3 linked regions of the Arabidopsis thaliana genome follow. The protein of the gene in region 3 interacts with the protein of the main gene of each other region in a pairwise test. Each region holds a gene or a part of one and is shown on either strand. Other genes may lie near its edges.

Region 1 (3,851 bases), on a different chromosome or scaffold from region 3:
TTCCTCGTTGATGCAGAGAGAGTAAAGGTAACGCCTTTTTCCTGAAGAATGTAACAGCAAAGCAAGAAAAACGAAACTCCTTTGATGCTTAATGAGAGAGAGAGTCGCTTTTACTTCTGTAAGAAGAGAAACAAATTTTCTTAGAATATTCTTCAATGCTTAACCCCTTTTTGAATGTGGTTGTGTGTGTTTAGCTGTTTTAATTTGAAAAAAATTATACACTTTATTAAACTATTAGTGGGAATGATTGTGCATATCCACACATAGTCACATATAGTATTTATATAGTAATAATTTCATCAAAAGGTATTGTTTTTTGAATTTCAAAGATTTCCTTTTCATGGCCTGTTGATGACACATGACAACTAATCAAAGTTTCCTAATCACACACCTCACCTTGGTGAATCTGTACTTACAAAATCTTGCAATTTTTAATACATACAAAAGTTCAAATACTAGTTTTTTTTATTGTGTATGAAGAAGATCTCTAGATATGGAAATTTATTTGCTATAATCAGAACAAATATAAATTAAACATAGCATAAAATCTTAATTTAGATAGATTGTTAAATTACTCAGTGTGGTCAGAACAAAATGTTAGGCTCTTATCATAAATTTCTGTTTCTAAACTTACTACCAGCCTTTAACCAAAACAGGTCCAACTAATCATGAGCTGGTTAATTCATTGTCCCAGTATTGAATAAGGTTTACCTAAATCCAGTTATTTCTTTTTTCATATCATGAATAAACAACCACTGTTTTAAATATAAATCAAATAATAATTAAATACAACTTTGGAAATATTATATTATATAGAGAGGCCCAATAAAAGAGTATGTTGAAGCCCAAACAAGTTATATAACATATCTAAAGGCCCATTTTATACAACAAACATTCAAATCAAAGAAACGGTGCGGTTTACCGTTTGGCTGAATCAAGCACACACCAAACACATCTAGTCATTTACAATCTGAAACAGCTTTCAATAAACAATGATATTGATTTGGCATTTTGACTTAAATGCAAACTACTTTAGTTTCATCACAGTAGAGTAATCTCTATAGCTCTAAGCTAGAGATATCGTAAGAAGAGAACAATCTAGTTTCTAGTATAAAACTGTAGTCTGACAAGAAATTTGCTTTACTTGGAAGAATATTTCCTCTGTATATATACACAAACGTGTAGAGGAGTTTTCATCAATCATCATCATCATCACCACACCAATCTAACTAATACTATTTGAAGCGTGAACCCTTCTTCCCTTTACCATTACCTTTGCTGCCTCTTCCTTGTAAAGCCGAAGCCCAAAAGAAGAGAGAGATCCAAATTAGTACTGAAAGAAAGATCTTTACACGGTCTTGAATCATCGACGCTACTCCCACAAGACCTACACAAAATGTGATACCAAACAACAACTATGAATCCAAATTGTTAAGAAGATTGCTCTCGTATTGCAACCAATGACTAAACCTGTAGGGAAAAGAAAATGGTGGAACTTTTGGAAGACATTCACAAGTTGTAAAAGGAGGAGATTTATAAATCCTTAATGCTTAACAAGAGTAAAAGTCTATAAATTGTCACAAAGATCAAAACTTTAGCAATGAACAGTAATCGATCTTGAGGACTAAGATTAACATCTTTATCTACGAATCAATAGCAGTTAAACCACCTTCATTCTCCTAATTCGAATTCCGTAATGCAATTTCATCGAATTAGGAAAGATTGAAAAATAGAATTGGCAGTAAACAAAATCAGAACTCAGAGTTGAAACATTGAAGTTTTAAGGGTAAGAAGGGAAAGACGAACTTGTGAGCTCAGTCGTGTTTTTAGGCGGAGGTGGGTCGGGACTAGGCGGCGTTGGAGGGCCGAGAGGAGCGACCGCGATGCGTCGTACAGGTTTTGGAGTGGGGACGAGGAAAAGGGTCTGAGAAGGAAGTGGAGACGACCGGAACGGTGAAAAGAACGACGGAGATGGAAGAGGATGGTTTTTACGGCAGCGATGGAGGTAAAGGTTGGAGCTTGAAGTCGTGTTGGCAAACGCCGTCGCCATTTTCTTCACAAGGTATTTTGGACCTTGTTTTGTTTTCTCATTATTTTAATTTTAATTTATGTATACATTATCAAAAAAATGTTTTTGGTTTTTTCCTTCTTAATACCAAACTAAAAGAAGGAAAATGAAATATTTTCTATAATTTTCCACAAACTATTGAAATATCATGCATTTTTGTTTAACATAAATATTGTGTTTTCTTGACGACAAAAAAAAAAAATATTGTGTTTTCTTTAAAGAAACTGAACTCTGACAATACACTAAAATACTGTACTTATTAATAAATAAATAATTTAATGTATAACATAACTTGTCTATAAAGAAAAATATTTCATAGTATAGTATAGCAAATCCACAATTATTAATACAAAATTTACAAATAAAATTTTGATATGAGGTACAAAAATGGACTTCTTGTTTAATATATCAACATTTTTGTGTTCATGACGTGAATTAGCAATTTACTCCATTGAGCCATTCGCATAGAAAACATAAAAGGGACACAACATTTGCTGCTTCTTTTAATTAATTTTGGCTTCTTTCTTTTGCGAAAATTAACTATGCTGAATAACAATTTATTCCATTCTCATTACAAACACAAAACTGGTTCATTCTTTGCTTGTTCAATTAGTCTATAATGTATTTTCTAGCTTCTTTTGTTTGCGCAAATGAACTAAGTTAATTAGCAACTTAATAACTGATTCCATTCGCATAAACATAAAAAAGGTACAACATTAATTTGCTTAGTCCATCAAAGAACACAAAAACGACACCGTATCTCTTCTACTCAACAGAAATCTCCTGAACATTCTTCTTTGGCTTCTCCGTCCTAGGAATCACAAGATTAAGCACACCATTCTTGAGCTCCGCCTTAATGTCCTCAACCTTAGCATCATCAGGCAACGATAAGCTCGTGTTGTAGTAACCATAACTCTTTGAAGACCAGTACTCGTCTTCCTCAGGTGAGCCTTTCTCTTCCTCCGCCTTGTGATCTCCTTTAATCGTCAAGATTCCATCATTTACCGTGATCTTCACGTCTTCTTTGGTTAGCCCTGGAACCTCGTATCTGAGCTTGTAACAGTCGTCTTGCTCTTTCACTTGACCCATTAGTTGGAATGGATTCACGTTGAAGTTGTCGAAAATTCTGTTCATATTCTCTGTTGCTTGTATCAGAGTATTTCCTATAGTCGGAGGAAAGAACTCTGTTTTAAGAAGAAGAAAAAATTCAATTCAAGCAAAAATAGAGGTTTACATTAATTATGTTTCATGAGATTTAATGCAATGAAAATGTAAATTTAAAATTTGATGTATTTTTATGATTCTAGAATTTCAAATTTTCTTCTTAATTTTTCTTTTATGGGATATATTTTACACTTAAATGTTGAATTTTTTTTATATAATTTATTTCGAAAATATTATTATTGTGACACTATTGAAATTTTCTGCTAAATAGGTATATCAATAATGAACTAAAATGACAAACGTACCATTTAGGGTGGGAGTGAAGTAGCCATGATCGTCGGTGTTACGCCAGAGGCTTTTTCGGCCACGTCTCCGGGGGAAATTCTGTCGAGGAGATTTCTTCTCAGACACACTCACTTCTGTGTTCATCTTATCCTCTTGTTCACCAGCCGAAGTAGCCATGAATCTGTTTAGCTTCATTGGATTATGTCGATTTCCGACCAAACCTCTTTCACAAGATTGACCCATCAAACTAGGAGACAGTTTTTGTTGAAGGTTTCTCAAAGCCAGACGAGCTAGAGCCATTGTTTTCAAATCGGTAAATTTCTTAATTTTTGTC
Region 2 (3,965 bases), on a different chromosome or scaffold from region 3:
AAATGTATTAGTATTTAGTATATACGCATTGATTTAGATACTAATGGAGATACTATTACATTTTAATATTAATATTTTACCTTTTATTTTTTTTGTTAATAAAAAATAAAACTGCATACTAATATATTTTTATAACATGAAACAGCATAGAATTTTTTTAATTAAAATTCATCAATGGGTCTCCCAAGAAATGGGCAAAGCATTGGGCTCCTACACATGGCAAACAATTCCAAAAAGGAGATAAAAACAAAAAATGAAGCCTTCACCAAATGGGAGGATCAGATCTTGTTGAAGACCACTAGCAATGATTCGAAGCAATAATACCAGCAAATACATGACCTACGGCGTTGCGGCAGTGGCACTGAACCGGAACCATCGACGGAAGTATTCGGTTCACATCTCCGCTCCCTTTCCGACGACCCACCATACCCGCAACAAGTCTCACACAATGTTTAAGCTCAATTTCCGACAAAATTGTTAGTATACATATACTTATAGACCAAGTGGATTGGATATCGTTAGTTAGTCACATTCTTTTCTTTATGATTAAGCCAAACGCAAGCTTGACTAAACTAATCATTCTCTACTTTTACTAAACACAGCTTGCGCTCCAGCCCCCACCCATTTGTTGAGTTCAAACTCGAAATCTTTCTTGTCTTCCCTACATAATGTATATATCATGTAAATTTGTTACCAATTCTTTGATTCTTTCAGTAATCAACAAGTGCTTATAAACTCAATAACAAGGTGTTTGCGTAATAAATATATTAAAAATAATTTTACTACTTTTAACTTCAAAATTAAAATGGCATCCTTATGAAGGGCTCTTCCTTGTCAAACTTGTTCATGCCTTTTTCTTATCAATCTGTTCTCGGAGCATTTTCTCTGCGAGTTTTCTCTTTGAAGTCTCTTCCCTACCACCTTGCTAAAAGATTCCTCTCCACTTGTTTGTTCCTAGTAAATCTTGTACTGTATAATAAGGTCTCTCTCGGATGTCCTCTTCCACCGTTTCTCTCCCAAAATTTTCTCCCTACAACTTTTTTTTAAGAACAAGTGTGAATCAAGTCCAAAAAAGTTGATCTTTATATCATCTTTTTAAAAACTCCTCTTAAAATGTTATTTATTTAATGTTTATTAAATATAATATATTTCTCTTTTTTATTTTTTTAATTTTATTTTTGAATAACAGGAGGTTCTGGACCGAAGTCCGTAATCCCTCTAGACCCGAAACCACATAATGTAATATTAGTTTCGTCTCAAGCGTCACTCGAACTGGCGACCTCTAAGGTTCGCCTAAAATCTTTACCAATTGAGCTAACGACACTTAATTTATTTTTTTAATAATCACAACTCCTTTGCATATATATTTATTTTTAGTTATAAAAAAATCTTTTTATTTTATTGTTAAAGAAAAATAATTTTATTGTTGCAAATTGTAGATTTGTCAAAGATTCATTAGATTTGTCACTAAATATAATACCCAACCAAAATGATATCTAAAAGAATTAATGAAACGTGAGTATATTTGTTTTCAACGACTAAAGAAACATATAAACAAAACTTATAAAAATATGAAATTGTTTTTGATAATTTCAAATGACAAAATAAAAAACTACAAACAATTTTCATCTCTAAGATTTCATTTTTTTCACCAAATAAAACCTACGAATATGAGTTCTTAAACAATAAAATAAAATCACCACACTCTTTAAAAAAAAAGAAACTTATACGAAAATAAGACTTATTCTCTTGAATAAGTAACAAATCCAATAGTTTATAACAGAAACTCCAGGTCATCTTTCTTTAAATATAAACAGATTCCATTTTTTGCATTATACACCCTTCCACTCTCACGTATATATATTTCTTACTTTACCCTTACTATTTAATATAATTCCATGTTTACCCTTCATCTTCCCTCTAAAATCCAACACAGAGAGATTTCAACGCTAAATAAAGAGAGAGAGAGTCTAAAAGCTCGTCGTCGTCTTCAATGGTGAATCTCAAACCAATTGGATAAATAAAACAAAACAAAAAAAACTTCACAAAAAAAAAAAAAAGATCCAAATTACAACCATGCCTTCGGAGTTAACACCAGAAGAACGATCGGAACTAAAAAACTCAATCGCCGAGTTCCACACATACCAACTCGATCCAGGAAGCTGTTCATCACTCCACGCGCAACGAATCCACGCGCCTCCGGAACTCGTCTGGTCAATCGTACGACGATTCGACAAACCACAAACATACAAACACTTCATCAAATCCTGCTCCGTCGAACAAAACTTCGAGATGCGCGTCGGATGCACGCGCGACGTGATCGTCATCAGTGGATTACCGGCGAACACATCAACGGAAAGACTCGATATACTCGACGACGAACGGAGAGTTACCGGATTCAGTATCATCGGAGGCGAACATAGGCTGACGAATTACAAATCCGTTACGACGGTGCATCGGTTCGAGAAAGAGAATCGGATCTGGACGGTGGTTTTGGAATCTTACGTCGTTGATATGCCGGAAGGTAACTCGGAGGATGATACTCGTATGTTTGCTGATACGGTTGTGAAGCTTAATTTGCAGAAACTCGCGACGGTTGCTGAAGCTATGGCTCGTAACTCCGGTGACGGAAGTGGTTCTCAGGTGACGTGAAAATGAAGAAAAAAATATGATTTAATTTCTTTTATTAAAAACAAAATCCAGAAATGTTATTTATGTTGCTTCGTATAAGATTCTCTTCTTCTTTTGTCTGTTTTTGCTTTTTTAACCTCATATAGTCATATTTTTACCATTTTCTTATGATGAGAATGACGTGCAAGGTTATTTTGGGCATTTTATGTTTGTGGATAACTATGAATCTTTCCATTTTCGTTAGGTATATTCCGGCGAGTAAGTCAAAATTTTCGGCTATGCAACAAACTCTCATAAAAAGTTACAAAAAAACTTACTATAAAGTTACCAAAGGTTTATTTGACACAAAAAAAAAAAAAGTAAATAACCATTCGTGTAAGGTTTTACTTTTCTTTGAATGTAAAAAAAAAGAAAGGTTTTCCTTTTCTTTTCCTTTTGTTAAAAAAACATGGGGATAAGATTTTTTTCACGTGTTTTTTGCTGTTATTGCTTTAAGTATGGTAGATTTAGTGTGTGATTCGTATGAAATTGTAATTACTTTTCATAGATTTCGCTTTTTTATCGATTACTTTTACATAATGTCCATGAACAAAACTTTAGTTTTTTTTCCCATGAACAAACTTTGTAACATATCGGTTGCCAAAAAAAAAAAAAACTTTGTAACACATGAACTCCCGATTTATTAACCAAACAACAACTTTTTTAAGAGTGGTAAAACGATAAAACAAATTGTGAAGGAAGAGATAGAGAAGACTAAAAAAACCATAAGTGGAAGTGTTTTAAGTTTTAACGAAGATGGTTTTAAAAGTGTGTGCCGTTTTTCATTCAGATTCGGGTTACCTTTTGCACTATAGTCAGGCTAGTGTCCCACTTGACTTGAATATATCACCATCATGTTTTATATAATTTATTGTTACAAAATTTGATGTGGGGAATCCATTATATGATACTATAACAATTTGTATATTTTATTATCGAATTTCAGCTGGATCGAGACAATAGCGAAAGGCCACTTTTATATTTTGTATAGTACTATTTTTAATTTCCTATTTGCAAACTTAAGACGAAGATCTTCTAATTAAGGCAAAGGTGATGATGATGTTGGTGCAAGTTGTGCCAGCTTGGTTAAATGTTGCAAGTTGCCAACTTGGTTATTAAACGCCGACACAAAGGTAGATTGAAAAATTAGTAGTATTATATTTGCGCAAAAAGTGGAAAATGAAGGAATACTACTAATTGCATGTACTTGAAGTCTTGAAGTTGATGATGGATGGTTGAGCCAATTAGAAGATCGATATTTTGAGCATCCTCACCTACTTTAATCATTATCATCG
Region 3 (4,776 bases):
TTCACGTGTTGTTTTTACGTTCTTTCTTTGACCATTGTCTTCTTCCTCTTTTCACAAACTCAATCTTTTGTTTTATTTTTCTTATCCTTTTATCGGCTTATCCATGTCGGTAATCATTATCACCGCACATATTTGTTTTTGCTTGTTTCTTATATGTACATAAAATGTATATGTTCAATTTAATTTGCACATCATTTCACTCTTGTTAATATGTAATTCATCGAAAATTATGGTTCTTAATCCATGTCAACATTGTCACAATTAACAACATTGTTAGGATATATATGTCAACCACAGCCAAAATTCTAAGTGGTTTGTATTGGTCTCAATGTCTAACCAGACTGAATGTGAAAAACACGAAAATGAATAGATTTAACGAGATTTTAACTAGTAGACAAAATAAAAACATATCTTACGTTTGCATGAAAACAGATTGAGAATTTGAGATCCAAGACCAAAACTAATTAAACTACACATGTGAACAAATAATATATTTTGGGCTATTCGGGTTTGTGTCCGGCCCAATGGTTTATGTTAGCCTGTCAAACTTGAGGACTTTGTTTGTTTTTCTCCTTTTTCCTAAGAAAACTCTCTTTATGGTTGAACTTGTTTTCTCGATCAACTTCTCTTGTACCTTCGTTCCACTTTAAAACAATATTGGCCGTGTGACTCTTTGACCAGGATCACTTGTCATGTCGATTTCTTTCACGTTGCATCTCAATATGAACTTCATGTATGTTGGAGTTGTGAATTGAAATTCATCAAAACAAGGAATCTTTGATTCAGATTGAGTCAATCTCTTCCAAGCACTGTGTTGGTATTGTACTGTAGAGAAATTTGCAGGATCTTGAAACATATGACAAGATATATAACGAACCGATTATTAGATTAATTTCGGCCAATGCTCGAATCATACAAGTAATCATAAGCCACAATGAGTTTAGCTTTGTTCACTAAGTTAGAAAGAATAAATAAATGAATGGATCAAGTTAAACAAAAGAACTAAATCATATAAAACCTCCAAATTTCTAACGTTTATCATATATCTAAAATCTTCTAAGATGCCTCTCTTTTCTATATGAACTGGCGTAAAGGGATCAACATCACACTGATATCATCAGACGAGCCTCGTGAAGCAGATAAATCGACAAGCTTCTTACAGGCAGCTAACAACAATGGCTTCTCGGTTCCTAAGCAGAGAGGACGAGCAATGTCTACTGCTTCTTGGTTACTCACTTTATCCCATAAACCATCAGATGCCAAGATCAAAAACTCATGGTCATGCTCGATTCTCGAAATCTTTGTCTCTGGTTCAGCTATAACCCATTTCTTAAGTTGAGCATCTCCAATTCCTCTTGACACAGCTAAAGATCCCTGGATTCTCCAAACACCGTGAAACGTATCAACATATCCTCCCGTGGTTTCAATTCTTTTCCGTTCATCGTCTCTAGACGGGCGGTGATCAGAAGATAAAGCCTTAGCTACACCTCCTACACTCATAACAGCACGACAGTCACCGGCGTTAGACACAACAAGGTTCCCTTCGTTAACCAGAGCCGTGACACAGCATGAACCACCCTTAACGTCTTCCTCCTTAAGAAACGACGCGTCTGTTGCCAAGTAACCATGTTTCACCGCTTCAGCTATCTCAGACTCGTCTCTCTTACCAACTACTTCTTCTACAATGTTCTTATCTAAGTTCTTAGCTGCAAACTCAGCCGCTTTAACTCCTCCATGACCATCATAGACTCCGAAAATCGCCTGAGAAATTATCACAAAGCAAAACAACGTTTAGAATACACGATTCATCAATAAGCACACAATTGTTTCATATGATTCTGTAAAACTTCTAATTCTATTCAGAATTTCAATTTTCCCCAAAGAACCCTAATTTTAGATAGCTTATTAACCCAATCAATGTAGATCTCACATGATAAACCCTAATTTGAGCTGTAATTGCTAATCAATCGAATCAAAATCACCAATTCAATTCAATTCTAAACCAAAACTGAAAAATGAATTTGAAATTTAAAATTACCTGTTTACGATCTCCATGAAGATTGGTGATAGCAGAGAAACGATCCTCCATAGCTTCTCTTCTTCCTCTCTTACAATAAACAGAATAACCATCACCTTCTCTCTCAACCTCTCTACACTCCTCTCTCGGCGTCGCAGCCACAGCGGCCGATGAAGAAATCGGAGCTACAAATCCAGCAACACCAATCGGTATATCAAGCCTTGTAGGTCGTTTCCTCTTTAAAACACCTCCCGGAGGAGAGGATGCAGAAACAGATTCAGATCCAAAAGATAATGGACCAGGAGCGAATCCGGACGGAGGTTTCTGGAAACGGAGACGAAATGGAGATTTAGGAGAAGAAACGGTGGTGGATGGAGAGGAAGGAGAAGAGGTCTGAGGTTTGCGATGAGAAAGCGTTAGAGAAAGAGATTCTTGCGGTGACGAGAGAATCGAAGATTTGTTGCAGAATAGAGAAGACGACGGTGAAAACACCGGAGAATTACATACGGCGACGGAGCAAGACATCGTTTCTATATTTTGATTTCGATTTCGATGAGTAGAGATTTGTTTTTGCTGAGATTATTGTTTTTGTTTCTTCTCCTTCTGTTTTTTTTTTGTTGTGACGATGTACAGAGAGAGAAGAAGAAGGTTTTTAAATATAAAGGAAAGAAGAAGGTAATGAATATTGAATGAATTAGAGTCCGTGTTTATCGAGCTTTATTCAAAGTTTTTCAGTCTCTTTGACTTTGTAAATAACATTTATGCCCTTACAACTTTCATTTCCTTTATTTATGTTGTCCTTTTACTTTCTACAAAATGGATATTATTTTGAGGAAAACAAAATTAGCTTGAATCCTACTCTTGTTGACCAGTTTTTTTTTGTTGGCAAAATAAAGGAAAATATCATTTTTTCTTAATAATGAAAAATGTATATATCCATGAGATTTTTTATTCCAATATTTTTTCATAACCAAAATAAGAATCATTCAATTTTTGGTAACTTTATGTCAATTTAATAATAAAAACAAATTATGTCTAGTAGACTAGAACTATCATAAACAAAAAGAGGAGTATTGCAAATAAGAAGAAAGGCCCTTTGTAACGTAGAATAAAATTCAATAAAACACAGCAGATAGTACAAAAGAGAATGTTGGAGGGTAAAACGGTCATTCACAGTCTAAAATAGCTAAAACGATGAAGTAAGCGATTTATTGGGTTTGCTCTGTGAGGTTAAAACAGACATTTCAAATGAAGTCAAAAACACGTCTAAAAGGAAACGAATGCTAATAATTGGGCATGTGGGTAACGTATCTGTGTTAAAGAAGTGTTTCATTGATGACTCACTTTTTTTTTCTTCTCCTTTTTAAATTAAATGAAAAATAGAATCTTAAAGAATTTAAAACGACCGTTAGGTTCTATACGTCGTCGTTTTCATTGGATGAGTATTTTTGCTTGTCGTAGTCGCAGCTTCTAAGCAAGTGACCGTTGAGAGCCTGAAGAGGAGCCTTCGTTTTGTTTGTTTCCATTTGATGACCGTTGTGAATTTGTCAAAAAGTCTAATACATAAAGTTGTAATTGATCTCGTTTCACACGAGGTCTTCTTATTATTAAAATACAAGTCTTCTTCTTATTAAGAGAGTGTTAATTTTTTGAGTAATTTGTGACATCATTAACTGATAGTTTTGTCTTTTAAACGGTATTTGATATTCTAGAGTTGAAAAGGAATTGCAATGTTCTAGAGTTGAAGAAAAATCCATTAGAAAGTTTTTGTTAATGTTGTGAATTGTGATAGGGATGAATAGTAAACAAAGAAAAATCAGTTTTTGCAATATTATAAGACCAAAATTTCCTTATTAATAAGTATTTGCATATGATAAGACCAAAAATTTTACGTCTTATTATATTGTCATGCGATTAATGTTCCACTATTAAGCACTTTTAGAGAATGTTTTTCCGTTTGAGGCAGTTTATAGGAAATAGACACTTTTTCTATTAATTCTTTTTTTTTAAAGACTTTTTTACCCTCAATTCAATATTTATGTTTTTAATTCTTAATTTCTCTTTTTTGTTATTCCTCTTCCACGATCCTTACCCAAAATAAATAAAATCTCTCTCTCTCTCTCTCCATGATTTGTAGCGCCTCTCTCTCTCTCTCTCCACGTCTCCATAACTTTTGGAGAAGTTTCTTAAACAATTTGATCTCGATTATCTCAGGAATTTGGTAAAAGTTCTATGTCCATAAGGTATTGGAGGTGGGGTCTCTGCAAATTGTAAGAAAAATCAACAAACAATTTTTTGGTGTCCATAATAACGAGTCCATTTAAATATATCCATTCAGAAAACCTTTTACTGATTCATATTCATTCTATATACCATGTCCATATAACAGGAGATTCGATTAACCGTGGTTTGTAAAGAAACCAAAGTTCCATGTCCATAAGGTCTTGGAAGTGGAGGTCTCTTCAAACTGAAAGAAAAATCAACAAACAATGTTTTGGTGTCCATAATAACGAATCCATTTAAATATATCCATTCAAAAACCTTTCTACTTATCTATATTCATTCTATATACCATGTCAATAATAACAGGAGATTCGATTAACCGTGTTTTGTAAAGAAACCAAAGTTCCATGTCCATAAGGTTTTGAAGGTAGAGGTCTCTGCAAACCGAAAGAAAAATCAACAAACAATGGTTTGGTGTCCATAATAACGAGTCCATTTAAATATATCCATTCGGAAACCTTTTTACTGTTCTATAT

Evidence for each region. Proteins that work in one complex are often made in the same cells at the same time.
Region 1: the proteins of AT2G30020 (region 3) and AT1G52550 interact in a protein complementation assay, tested with the Arabidopsis thaliana proteins (one large-scale study listed by BioGRID).
Region 2: the proteins of AT2G30020 (region 3) and PYR1 interact in a protein complementation assay, tested with the Arabidopsis thaliana proteins (one large-scale study listed by BioGRID).

What each region holds. Positions count from the first base shown.
Region 1 is NC_003070.9:19,571,950-19,575,800, forward strand, and holds AT1G52550 (uncharacterized protein), read right to left. Parts: upstream 2,111-3,851; 5' UTR 2,051-2,110; coding exon 1,807-2,050; intron 1,388-1,806; coding exon 1,236-1,387; 3' UTR 806-1,235; downstream 1-805. Other genes in the region: AT1G52560 (HSP20-like chaperones superfamily protein), read right to left, coding at 2,834-3,252, 3,538-3,817.
Region 2 is NC_003075.7:9,926,716-9,930,680, forward strand, and holds PYR1 (Polyketide cyclase/dehydrase and lipid transport superfamily protein), read left to right. Parts: upstream 1-1,871; 5' UTR 1,872-2,076; coding exon 2,077-2,652; 3' UTR 2,653-3,160; downstream 3,161-3,965. UniProt on the Arabidopsis thaliana protein: Receptor for abscisic acid (ABA) required for ABA-mediated responses such as stomatal closure and germination inhibition. Inhibits the activity of group-A protein phosphatases type 2C (PP2Cs) when activated by ABA. Can be activated by both (-)-ABA and (+)-ABA.
Region 3 is NC_003071.7:12,812,203-12,816,978, reverse strand, and holds AT2G30020 (Protein phosphatase 2C family protein), read right to left. Parts: upstream 2,709-4,776; 5' UTR 2,543-2,708; coding exon 2,039-2,542; intron 1,762-2,038; coding exon 1,075-1,761; 3' UTR 619-1,074; downstream 1-618. UniProt on the Arabidopsis thaliana protein: Protein phosphatase that negatively regulates defense respones. Inactivates MPK4 and MPK6 MAP kinases involved in stress and defense signaling.